Rattus norvegicus: one gene and its partners. The protein of the gene in region 1 purifies or fractionates together with the protein of each later gene. This does not show direct contact. Links are inferred from orthologs where the notes say so. Each region holds a gene or a part of one and is shown on either strand. Other genes may lie near its edges. The genes, in order: Pomp, Psmg1 and Psma6.

Region 1 (3,648 bases):
TGTCTGCAGGAATACCTGTACATGAACACATGTAAACCACATGTACACATTGCCACACACAGATGTAGAGATACAGTGTTATAAACCTGTCAGGAAGAAATGAACACTTTAAATCCCAGAGGGATGTCAACTCTTGGCCTCAGGATTGTCAGTGTTGCGTTTTTAAAACAACGTTGCTCTGCAGCAAGCTTTTAGCTTAGAGCTACTCTGTCTTCTGCAGTTCCAGCTCAACCAGGACAAGATGAACTTTTCCACCCTGAGGAACATCCAGGGCCTGTTTGCTCCCCTGAAGTTACAGATGGAGTTCAAGGCTGTGCAGCAGGTGAGTCTGTCCCTGTCCCACGCGTGCTCATGTTCTCGTGCTAGATGTCAGACCTTACCCTCTGAGCACCCTGTCCTGCCTCCCTCTGTAGCACATGACCCTTGTTACTGCTTCATAAGGGAAAAGTTGTCACGTGGAAAATGGCTTCACGTCATAGATACAGTGTCTGAGCACAGTGCAGCTGTCTGCCTGCGCTTCTCTGCCCTCTGCGGGCAGCCGTGCGGGCACAGCTGGGCGTGCCTGTTGCTAAGGAGTAGCTGTGCAGATGTCCCGCCTGGGTTCTGGGCCCCATTGCGTCACCCTACCTCAGGGAACAGGTCCTTGCCAGCAGCCCTGCCTGTTGCAGACACCTTTTTCTTCTCTCCTTGCTTTGGCTCTTTAGAAGCTGTTACCTACATTCAGATCCTGTGGTAAAATTGTATCAATCCCTAATTAATTAATAATTACTTTTGAGATAGGTTTTCTCTCACCTCGTAACTCTAACTGGCCTGGAACATGCTTTGTAGAACATGCTGGCCTTGAACTCCCAGAGACCTGCCTGCCCATGCCCACTATGTGCAGGGGTTAAAGGGGTGTGCCAGCACGCCTCGCCCCCACTTCTCTCCTCACTTGTCAGCTTGTCCAGGTTCACCTGCTGGAAGCCATTGTTCCCCGTGTCTGTACTTTACTTTCTCCTCTGAGATGGTGTCGTCTGGTTCCCAGGGCGTGTGCGCATGTGTGCACGTGTGCACGTGTGCTTTTGTAGGGGGTCGGGGGATTGACACTCAAAGCTCCTTCCTTTTCTCTGTATTTTTGTAGACCTCAGACTGGTGTCCCCTTCCTCTCTGAAACCCATTTGTAGCTCTGTGGTTCCTTCTGTCTGTCACCTGAGATGCTGGTGGTGCCAGAGGCCATCTTTGTTCTCCCTCCTGTTTCCTGCCTGTCCTTCGTGGTTACTCAGTGCTGTTGACTTTCTCTAACTCTCCGGACCTGCTTTTCTGGTTGGAAGGCCCACAGGCATCTTGGGTTTCCCGGGCTGTGCAGAATAACTCATTATTCTTCCTTGTGGGTAAATAGGTTTCACCTAAGGCAGATGATGGAATGTTAGCTCTGGTTGCCTCACTTGGTGCCTTGTGGCCCCCACCCCTGGTCCTTACCAGATCTCCCTGCTCCTCCACCCCCACCATGACTGTAAACACCTCGATGTGTCACACTCCTCACTTTGCCCTCCAGGTAAAACCCAGGCACCTAATGCCTTGGCACCTGGCCTCCCTCTTTGGACTTCGTGTATTTGTTTCCTGCTACCACGGACCCTTTCTCTGCCTGGCTGGACTTGAGTCTTGCAGCAGGGCTGTGAGTGCCGTTGTTTTTGTAGGTTTGTAGTTCTGGAAGCTACTTGAAGTACTTCTTTGCGAGAATACTGCTCTAAAATGGCTTTAAGTGAGAATGGCCGAGTCTGAGTGTTTTAGACTAATCTAAATTTCAGTCTAAACTAGTCTAGCAACTTGAGAGTAGCAGTCTGAGCACATTTGTTGTTGCTTATGGTTTATTTAGTCTTATTGTGTGTGGGTGTGTGTGTGTCTGTGCACTGTGTGTAGAGTGATCACAGGGACCAGATCTCCTAGGAACTGACTCACAGGCGGTTCTTAGCCTCTATAGGTGGTGGGAAGCTAGCCTGTTTTCCCTGGAAGAGCAGCTGGTTCGTAACTGCGAGCCACCCTCAATTCCTAGCCGGTGTGAAGTGGAAGAACAGTGTAGGTTGTCAGGCTTGGCACAGCTCTTCGCCTCCCTCGTCTCCTGTCTTTGCCTGGGTTTGAGCTGGATATCGCTAGTAAAATTGACAGCCTGAGTTTTTAATACCATTTTGTCAAAAATCTTTGCTAATGTATATTCCTTGCCTTCCTGATCCCCATCATTGTGTTTTGCAAGCCCCACCTTTGATTCTGCTTCCCGGATCCTTTGCACTCTCCTCCACTTAGAGGTTCCCGTTTCTATTTCTGCTTCTTCCTCTTCTCTCTTCTCCATGTTTCCTTTTTCAGTTTTGAATGACAGCTGGAGAATTCTTTCCACACTGTAAAGACTAAGTAGCGTTTATAGGCTATTGGCAACTGAGAATAGTACCCTCACTCTGAGTAGTGAGGGTCGGTCCCCCTGTCACTGCCTCTGCAGACACTGACCACAGGATTAGTTTCGGTCACGGCGTCACTCACTGCTCATCACCTAGTACTCTGGGTAAAGTATAAAGGCGATGGGTATGACCATGTTCAAGCGGCAGTGGCTGCCCTGACTGTGCGCGGTCTTTCAGGCGGGTAACCTGCAGAGAGCTGTATCAGTGGTTGTCAGACAGTGAATCCACATGGCTTCTGTCTGTACAGCCCATCCCGTCCCCACTCGCCCCCTCATGACTTGGTCAGTAATCGTCAGACTATGAATCCAGATGTTTCTGTCTCACAGCCTGTCCCCCTCCCCCATGGCTTGGTCAGTGATTGTCATGGACTGTGAATCCAGATGTTTCTGTCTGCACAGCCTGTCCCCCTCCCCCATGGCTTGGTCAGTGATCATCATGGACTGTGAATCCAGATGTTTCTGTCTGCACAGCTTGTGAACCTTTCCCCGTGCTTCATTTGGTTTCCAGTCCATACCTGCCTGTTGCTGGAGTGACACTGTGACTTTAGAGTCCCCCTGAGTGGGTTTGGTCTGCATTTCTGGTTAGCACTGTATCTTCAAAGGTTACCTTTTAGCTTTGTGCTGAGCAGCTCAGAGGAGCACACAGTCCCCTTGGCAGGTGAGAGTGACTCTCACTCGCCTGGATCCTCCTGGGGCCTGGTCTCTCTGCTCTGGAGCGAGGTGGGCTCCGGGCGTGCTCTCTTCCCCAACAGAAAGACTCAGTGGGCATGCGGGTTATATGGTGGCAGTGGGCATGCGGGTTATATGGTAGCAGTGGGCATGTGGGTTATATGGTGGCAGTGGGCATGTGGGTTATATGGTGGCAGTGGGCATGCGGGTTATATGGTGGCAGTGGGCATGCGGGTTATATGGTGGCAGTGGGCATGCGGGTTATATGGTGGCAGTGGGCATGCGGGTTATATGGTGGCAGTGGGCATGCGGGTTATATGGTGGCAGTGGGCATGCGGGTTATATGGTGGCAGTGGGCATGCGGGTTATATGGTGGCAGTGGGCATGTGGGTTATATGGTGGCAGTGGGCATGCGGGTTATATGGTGGCAGTGGGCATGCGGGTTATATGGTGGCAGTGGGCATGCGGGTTATATGGTGGCAGTGGGCATGCGGGTTATATGGTGGCAGTGGGCATGCGGGTTATATGGTGGCAGTGGGCATGCGGGTTAT
Region 2 (3,656 bases), on another chromosome or scaffold:
AAAATGTCCTATTTGGTATTAATCTGCTTTTTATTAGTGTTTGAGGTTTATTTTTAAAAAGTATTTATGTTAAAATTGATATGCTCCCCCCAATAGACTTTATCGTTTTTCTACATCGTGAGAGATTTTAAACAACTTCCCAAGAGTTTTGATTTTAAAACGTCCCCGATCCCGAAATATTTACTTACTTTAGTTATATTTTACTAAACAGACCCTATTTAGGCAAGGCAGACCCTATTTCCTCGCAAGTAAATCTAGAATGTGTTTTTATTTCCCACTGAGGTCCCAGTTTCCTTTTTCCTCGTAGTCGTTTGCTCTTGTGAGAGCAGTATTCGGTAGAGTTTTTTTGTCTTCCAGCACACAAGCCAGAAAAACACATTCTTTCTGTCATTAAAATAGAAAACTGGGTTGGGGATTTAGCTCAGTGGTAGAGCGCTTGCCTAGGAAGCGCAAGGGCCCTGGGTTCGGTCCCCAGCTCCGAAAAAAAGAACCAAAAAAGAAAACAGTGTATATGAGTTACACATGGCCAGGTTTTTAAAAAGCCTAGCCTTGCAGCTTCACTCATGTCCTCTGGATCCGCTTGCAGTCATCACCCCTGGAGCTGTCTGTGCTTCACTCGCAGCTCTGGGTTTCCTCCACGGGTGGGTCCTTGCAGGCGGGCGGCGGGATGTGGAGCGGGCCCTGCGTGCCCGGGTCAGCAGGGTGACGGAAGCGCGCCGCGGAACAGATCCCGCGGCGGACCGGAAGTTCTGAGACCTTCACCCAGGCTGAGGGCGTGGCCTGGCTCAGGCGGGTCGGGGGCGTGGTCTGAAGGGCGTGGCTGGGGCCGGCGCGCAGGCGCCGTCTGGCCGCGCGGGGCTGAGGTGCCATGGCTGCTACGTTCTTTGGTGAGGTGGTGAAGGGGCCATGCCGAGCTGGGACTGAGGAGGAGGAAGAGGAGGAGGAGCAGAGCAGGCGGGACACGCCGGAGGACCGGGAGGTCCGGCGGAAGCTTGCGCGGAAGAGGTCAGGCTCCGGGAAGGCCTCCCCACCGGCGGGGCGAGCATCAGGCGGTGTTGGCCTGCCGAGTGCCCTGCGTTCACGCTGGGACGCTGACAACCCAGCAATGCTTGCCCTCCCTCCACCCTACGCTTTAGGTTACGCCGCGTGTCCGCCGTATTTCTTGCAAAACTACTGTTAAATACACAGAAATGAGGTTATGCCGGCCCCTTGGCCAAGGTTTTACCACATCCATTTTTTCTCACACCACCCCTACTAGTTTCCAGTTAGGAAACTCTTCCTAAGCATGCTGTCTTTATGCGTATTCATTTATTTTGTTTGTTTGTTGCTGGACCAGAGGTTGGAGTTGGGTGCCCGGTGGCGTTTACCACCTTTTTGAGAAATCTTAAATTGAACCCAGACCTCACTGTTTCTGCTTCACTGGCTGACCTCCAGACCATAAGAGATTATCCTGTTTTCCCAGAACCTTCACTCTCGACATTTAGGTGGGTTCTGGGATCAGAACTTGGGTCGTCATGGTTGTGGTGGCAACTTAGCACCTTCCCTGCCCCAGATATGCTAATAAGTTTTCAGTGTCATACCAGTTCACAATCAAATTCACCTAGATTTTTAAAATATACTTTCTGGTGATTTCTGTCAACTACAGACACTTTTGGCACTCTGTTTCATTTACAACAACCCCCTCACCACCTACCCACCCCCCCTCATTTTTGGTTCTTGCACTTGCCTCTCACCTGGTTTTCTCTGGTGTTAGCTGGTGTTGCTATCTCTGACTGTGGCATGATCCTCCTATAAGCCTCTGTGTCAACACCCCTGGGTGACCAGCTCTCTCCTGTCAGGATTTGGGTACTGAAAGCTGTGCTACAGGGTTAGCTCTGGGTCCCCTCTCCCTTTTCAAACTCTTCCCGAGAGCCTCGACTTGTCCGATGGTCAGGCTTCACTTGCTTTTGTCACAACTAAATGCTTCAACGTTTGTTTGGACACTTGGCCACGTTAAGCATTTTGCTGGCAGGAGTGTTTGAGATGCTTGTATGAAGTTTGTTAGTAGTTTTACTCATTGAGTCTGTGAGTAGTCATTGCCTGAGCCTACAGTATTTCCATTCGCCAGGCCACCCAGGACACCGTTTCTTTTATCTAATACCATCTATCAATCCAGCTATCCACTCATCTCTCTTCTGTCACCTACCTATTTACCCATCTGTGTATATACGTTGTGTATATTGCACCTGCCTACCATATCTATATAAGTCGCATGTCTGTCCACCATCGATCTCATCTGTCTTCCATCTATGTGTGCATCCAGTTCTATATAGCATCTGTCACTTTTCTCTTAATCTGTCTGTCTGTCATTCTATTACCATCTCTTCCAGTGTGACGGTCGTTACAGTGAGTGACATTTGTTTACTTTTGTCTCTTGCTGTCAGGGAGGTGAAGCTTCTCCGAAGACAGACAGAAACATGTCTGGAGGCTGTGCTCCTAGAGAAGCACCCTTGCTCCAAGTTCATCCTTGCAGTAGGAAGTAACGCCACGGGTAAGCGCCAGTGTCAGGGGTAGACGTCCTGTTGGAAGAATGTTTCTTCCTACATCTCGTATGTATTTTAAAAGGATCCCAGCAGGCCCTGGGCGTGTGGCTCAGGTGGCACAGTGCTTGCCTATGAAGCACAGGACCTTGGGTTCGAATCCCAATACTGTATGAACTGGGCGCTGTGCAACCCTAGCCCTCAGCAGGCGGGAGATGGCAGATGGGAGCACGGAGAAGTTCCAAGACCGAGCCGGGCTCCACAAGGCCCTGTCTTAAACAGCCACAGTCATTTCAAGTAAGGTAGATTGCCTGTTTTTCCATCTTTGTAATGAGATTTAAAGGAAATACGCTTAGCTTCAGAATTACAGTTCTAGGCCCCGTTTTCCAGCCTGCTGTGTCCACACGTCTAGCAGTAATCGTAAGCATCTGGAACACTTCAGTTCTAAGGTCTTTGAATGCATTTATTGACCTGGTAGGTTGAAAGTGGAATAATGTGAGTTTGCTTGGAACAGTGTTGTATGTCAGTACACGTGGAGACCTTTGTAACTTCAGTGGGTTAACAGGCTCTGAGGAAATCATTTGGGAACTCTAGTTAAGAGCTCTTGCTCTGTAAGTGAGCCCTAGGACTTTAGAGATTGTGTAAGTAACAGTAGGCTCACCCGTTATATAAAGGTCTGCTTGCCTAATTGTTTTAGAGGAGTGTTCCATTGTGAGACTAGTACAAACTCTGCAGACATTGTCGCCTGCCTTTCCAGTCCCTGTTTGTAGTTTTGTGTGGAGAGTGTAGACTTTCACTCCTCAGCCTCAAATTTTGTTTGCTCCAAAGTGGTCCAGTTGGATGGTCTATAATATTTTAAAAAGAAATTTATGGCAGGTATGGTGGTGTACTCCTTTAATCCATACTGTACTTAGGAGGCAGGATGGGTGGACTTCATGAGTTCAAGGCTAGCCTGGTCTACAGATGGAGTTCTAGGACAGCCAAGCCTACATAGAGAAACCTTGTTTTGAAAAACAAAACACCCAACAACAAAATTTAATTATGAGCATATTTTTGTGTGTGGGCTTACTCAAGAGCATAAGCCAGAGGAGGGCACCAGATCCCCAGAGTTAGAATTACAGACGGTTGTGAGTCACC
Region 3 (3,648 bases), on another chromosome or scaffold:
TATATAATAAATAAATAAATCTTTAAAAAAAAAAAAAAAAAGTTGGTCTGTTTGAGAAAGGCCTTGCTTTACAGCCCTGACTATTCTGGACTCACTACATAGACCAGGCTGGCCTCAGGCTTACAATGATCCTTCTGCCTCCGTCTCTTGCGTGCTGGGATTACATATGTACACCACCATATCCGTATAAAAAAGACTTGTATGCGGGTGTCAATGTCAAGGACAGCCTTAGGAGCAGGGTTTCTCACTGGCCTGAACTAAGCGTGGCTGGGCTGGCCAGCAGTGCTACGATCTCAGCATGTGTCATGGTAAGTAGGTTTTGTTTGTTTGCAATGAAGGTTCTGAGGTCTGACCCGAGATCCTTGAGATCCTTGAGCTTACGAGATAAGCACTTACCTGAGCTCTTTCAGCCCTCTGCTCACATATTCTTTTACTAAGAAACACTTTGCTCTCCAAGAACTTGGTTTGTAGCTGCTTTTATTTAGGACTATGAAAATAATTATTACTGGATCAGCAAGACAGCTCACTGGGCAAAGGTGCTTCCTGCCAAAGCTAACTGGGTCCAATCTAGAAGTCCTATGGTAGAAAAGAACTGTCTCCTGCAAACTGGTCCTCACTCCTATGAGTGTCGTGGCAGATGCGCACACACGCACGCGCGCGCACACACACACACACACACACACACACACACACACACACACACACACACACAAATAAATATTTTTTTAAAGAATAAATGTTAACAAAACAATATTACCAAATCTTAGTGGTTATACTTGTTATCCAAAAAGTTTAACCCAATTTGAGTCTACTAATCATATAACCACACCAGTCTTTGAGTCTAGTCTTATTTCCCTATTTTGTGTTTTTGAAGTTTCCCATGAAGTGTGAAGGTAGAGATTAAAATGAATAAAGCAGTCCCCCTTCCCCCCATGTGAGCTGAATGATATCAATTCTACCATCAAACTAGCACACCTGGATCTGTGACAGTGTTAGGAAACAGCTTTCGTAGCCTATCAATAACACAATGATGCTCACTCTCCCAGAGCAGGGAGAGAAGGTCCACGCCTTCCGGCTGACTTACTTCCACTGTCTGTTCAAATGTCCAATCAAATTTCTTCTTCACTTTTTTTTCGAGGAAGCTGGTTGACTCTGTCTGCTTCACTCCTGCTGCGGTGGCTTTAAAGCCACAGTAGTAGCCTGCAGGATCACACTTGTACACTTGAGGGCCTTGCTCTTCATCTATACCAATTAAAATCATACCTAAAAAGGAAGGGCCAGTTAAATATATTATGCTGTCTACAAAAATTTCCCTTTTTGGTGTTTCATATAGTTGCTGTTACTCATTATTTGGTCACTAATTTTAGGTTTATTTGTTTTCCCAAAACCGTTAAAATGTGCTTTATTACCAGTGACAGATTAGATAGCAGGCACATTTCTGTTTTGAGAAAGGATCCATCAATTGCCGTTATTTTACACAGGTTCAGCTTTCACTGAACTTGTAAGAAGTTTATTCAAAGAGACCAAAGCCCATGCCACCCCCAATCTCCTCAGATCCCTCTTTCTTTGCTGTAACAATCAAAATTCATTTTTAGAATAATTCCTGAATACAGAGGACAGATTTAGAGAGAGAAGGGACAGAACAAATAAATAAACCAGATAGGAAATAAAGGCAACAAGGCAATGAGAAAACAACAGGAGACAGGAATAGATACTCTGAAGCAACCCTCTGCCGATCCTTAATTACATGACCAGGGAGAGTAGACTGAGACTATAAAGGAGAAGCTGAGGATGCGTGTAGAACAGGAATGACTCAAAGGTCCTGAGAGATGGGAGGGATGGTTAAGAAACCAGGTAAATGACCAGCATATAGGTAGTAAGTGAAGCCCTCAAGGGGGTGAGATTAATCAGACAGCAAAGAGGAAGACAAGGTTCAAGAACAAAGCTTGTAAGTGACAACATTTAAGGGACCAATGGAGGAGCAGGACAAAAGGAACTGAGCAGAAGAGAACATTAGGAGCCAGCATACCTGTAAGCTAGTGCTTGGGAGACTGAGGCAGGAGGATCACAAATTTGAGAAAAGCTTGAACTACTCAGTAAGAGTAAGGGGGGATGGGTATGAAATCAGGGACTGGAGAGATGGCTCAGCAGTTAAAGGACACTGGCTGTTCTTCTAGAGAGGATCAGGGTTCGAGTCCCAACAATCAACCATCTCAACTCTAGTTCTAGGGACTCGATACCACACACAGAAATACAGTCAAGTTCCAGGACAACCAGGGCTACACAGAGAAACTGGAGAGGGGGAGAGGGGAAGAGGGGAAGGGGAGAGTGGGGAAGGGGGAGAGGGAGTAAGGGGGAGAAGGGGCGGAGGGGGAGGAGACAAACCATATCTTTACTCAGTGATCAAAAGTGGCATTGACACTGTTAAAATGCCTGAAATTACACCAGAACCCCATTACAACAGCCTAATAAAATAGAACTTTCAAATCACATAGCCTAAATAGAAATATTTTGATTAAAAAATGAATAGAACTCAAAAGCTGTAATTTCAAACTTCATGTTCAGAACTCATGTGGCCTCAGTTTCTTTATACATGTTCTCTAAAGACAATTACAACTCCTTAGACAGTTCCTTAGAAGATTTCTGAGCATACTTACAACAACCAAGTGGCCTCATTTCAGCATTCTGTGTGTAGACTTGAGAAATATCAGCAATTCTTTTACACAGCATGTCCACAGGAATCTCATAGCCATATTTGTATTTCCAGTTAGCTGCTTCATAGCGTGCCCTCTGTACCTGGGATCTGCTGTCAGCTTGAAGGATAAGCATAACCCCAAAGAGTTACCACTTTAGAAATAGAATGAATCTAAAAGCCTATTTCTCCACCACAGATATCTATGTTTATGCCAAAGACACGTTATAGTAGGACAAGGGGTTCTCTGTGGCTTTTTCTTGTGATAACGAACACTGAGTGACTTGGCTTGGAGTACATGTAACAACAGAAAGAAATTAAAACCTTTAGCTAATTTTTATACCATACTGCTCTTTTATACCAAGCCTTTCACCAGCAGTCAAAATAGTTTCTACAAGAATCCAGTGCCTGAGCTGTCTGGATGGCTCAGCAGATAAAGGGGCTTGCCAGCAAACCTGATGGCTTTGGGTTTGATCCCCAGGACCCAATGTGGTAGGAGAAAAACAACTCCCATAAGCTGCCCTCTGATGTCTACACATGCTTTCACGACACATTATGTGCACAAATAAATGTAATAATAAAAAAGTCTAATAATGGCCAGGAGCTAGTAGCACATGCCTGCCTTTAATCCTAGCACTTAGGAGGCAGAGGCAGGTGGATCTGAGTTCAAGGCCAGCCTGGTCTACCATGAGAGTTCAGGATAGACAGAGCTACACAGAGAAACTCTGTTTTGAGAGAGAGGAAAAAAATGTCTAATGACTCAAAGAATATACTTTTTAAAAAAGTTTCACGAGAAACACTATTTTTAAAAGATTTACTTTAATTTTATGTGTACCATGTGTGCCAAGTGCCCCAGAAGCCAGTAGAGATCATAGACAAGGGGATTATGTGCTGCTATGTGGGTGTTGGGACTGAACCTGGGTCCTTTGTAGTAGCAAGGGATATTAATTCCTGAA

Evidence for each region.
Region 2: the proteins of Pomp (region 1) and Psmg1 purify together in Homo sapiens (affinity purification with mass spectrometry; 4 studies listed by BioGRID and IntAct, with this or other methods). This does not show direct contact. The link is inferred for Rattus norvegicus from reciprocal best matches to the Homo sapiens genes POMP and PSMG1.
Region 3: the proteins of Pomp (region 1) and Psma6 purify together in Homo sapiens (affinity purification with western blotting; 4 studies listed by BioGRID and IntAct, with this or other methods). This does not show direct contact. The link is inferred for Rattus norvegicus from reciprocal best matches to the Homo sapiens genes POMP and PSMA6.

The regions. Positions count from the first base shown.
Region 1 is NC_086030.1:12,200,759-12,204,406, reverse strand, and holds part of Pomp (proteasome maturation protein), read left to right. Parts: intron 1-220; coding exon 221-322; intron 323-3,648. UniProt on the Homo sapiens protein: Molecular chaperone essential for the assembly of standard proteasomes and immunoproteasomes. Degraded after completion of proteasome maturation. Mediates the association of 20S preproteasome with the endoplasmic reticulum.
Region 2 is NC_086029.1:48,752,227-48,755,882, reverse strand, and holds the start of Psmg1 (proteasome assembly chaperone 1), read left to right. Parts: upstream 1-842; 5' UTR 843-868; coding exon 869-1,005; intron 1,006-2,423; coding exon 2,424-2,530; intron 2,531-3,656. UniProt on the Homo sapiens protein: Chaperone protein which promotes assembly of the 20S proteasome as part of a heterodimer with PSMG2.
Region 3 is NC_086024.1:78,524,246-78,527,893, reverse strand, and holds part of Psma6 (proteasome subunit alpha type-6), read right to left. Parts: intron 2,814-3,648; coding exon 2,658-2,813; intron 1,264-2,657; coding exon 1,085-1,263; intron 1-1,084. UniProt on the Homo sapiens protein: Component of the 20S core proteasome complex involved in the proteolytic degradation of most intracellular proteins. This complex plays numerous essential roles within the cell by associating with different regulatory particles.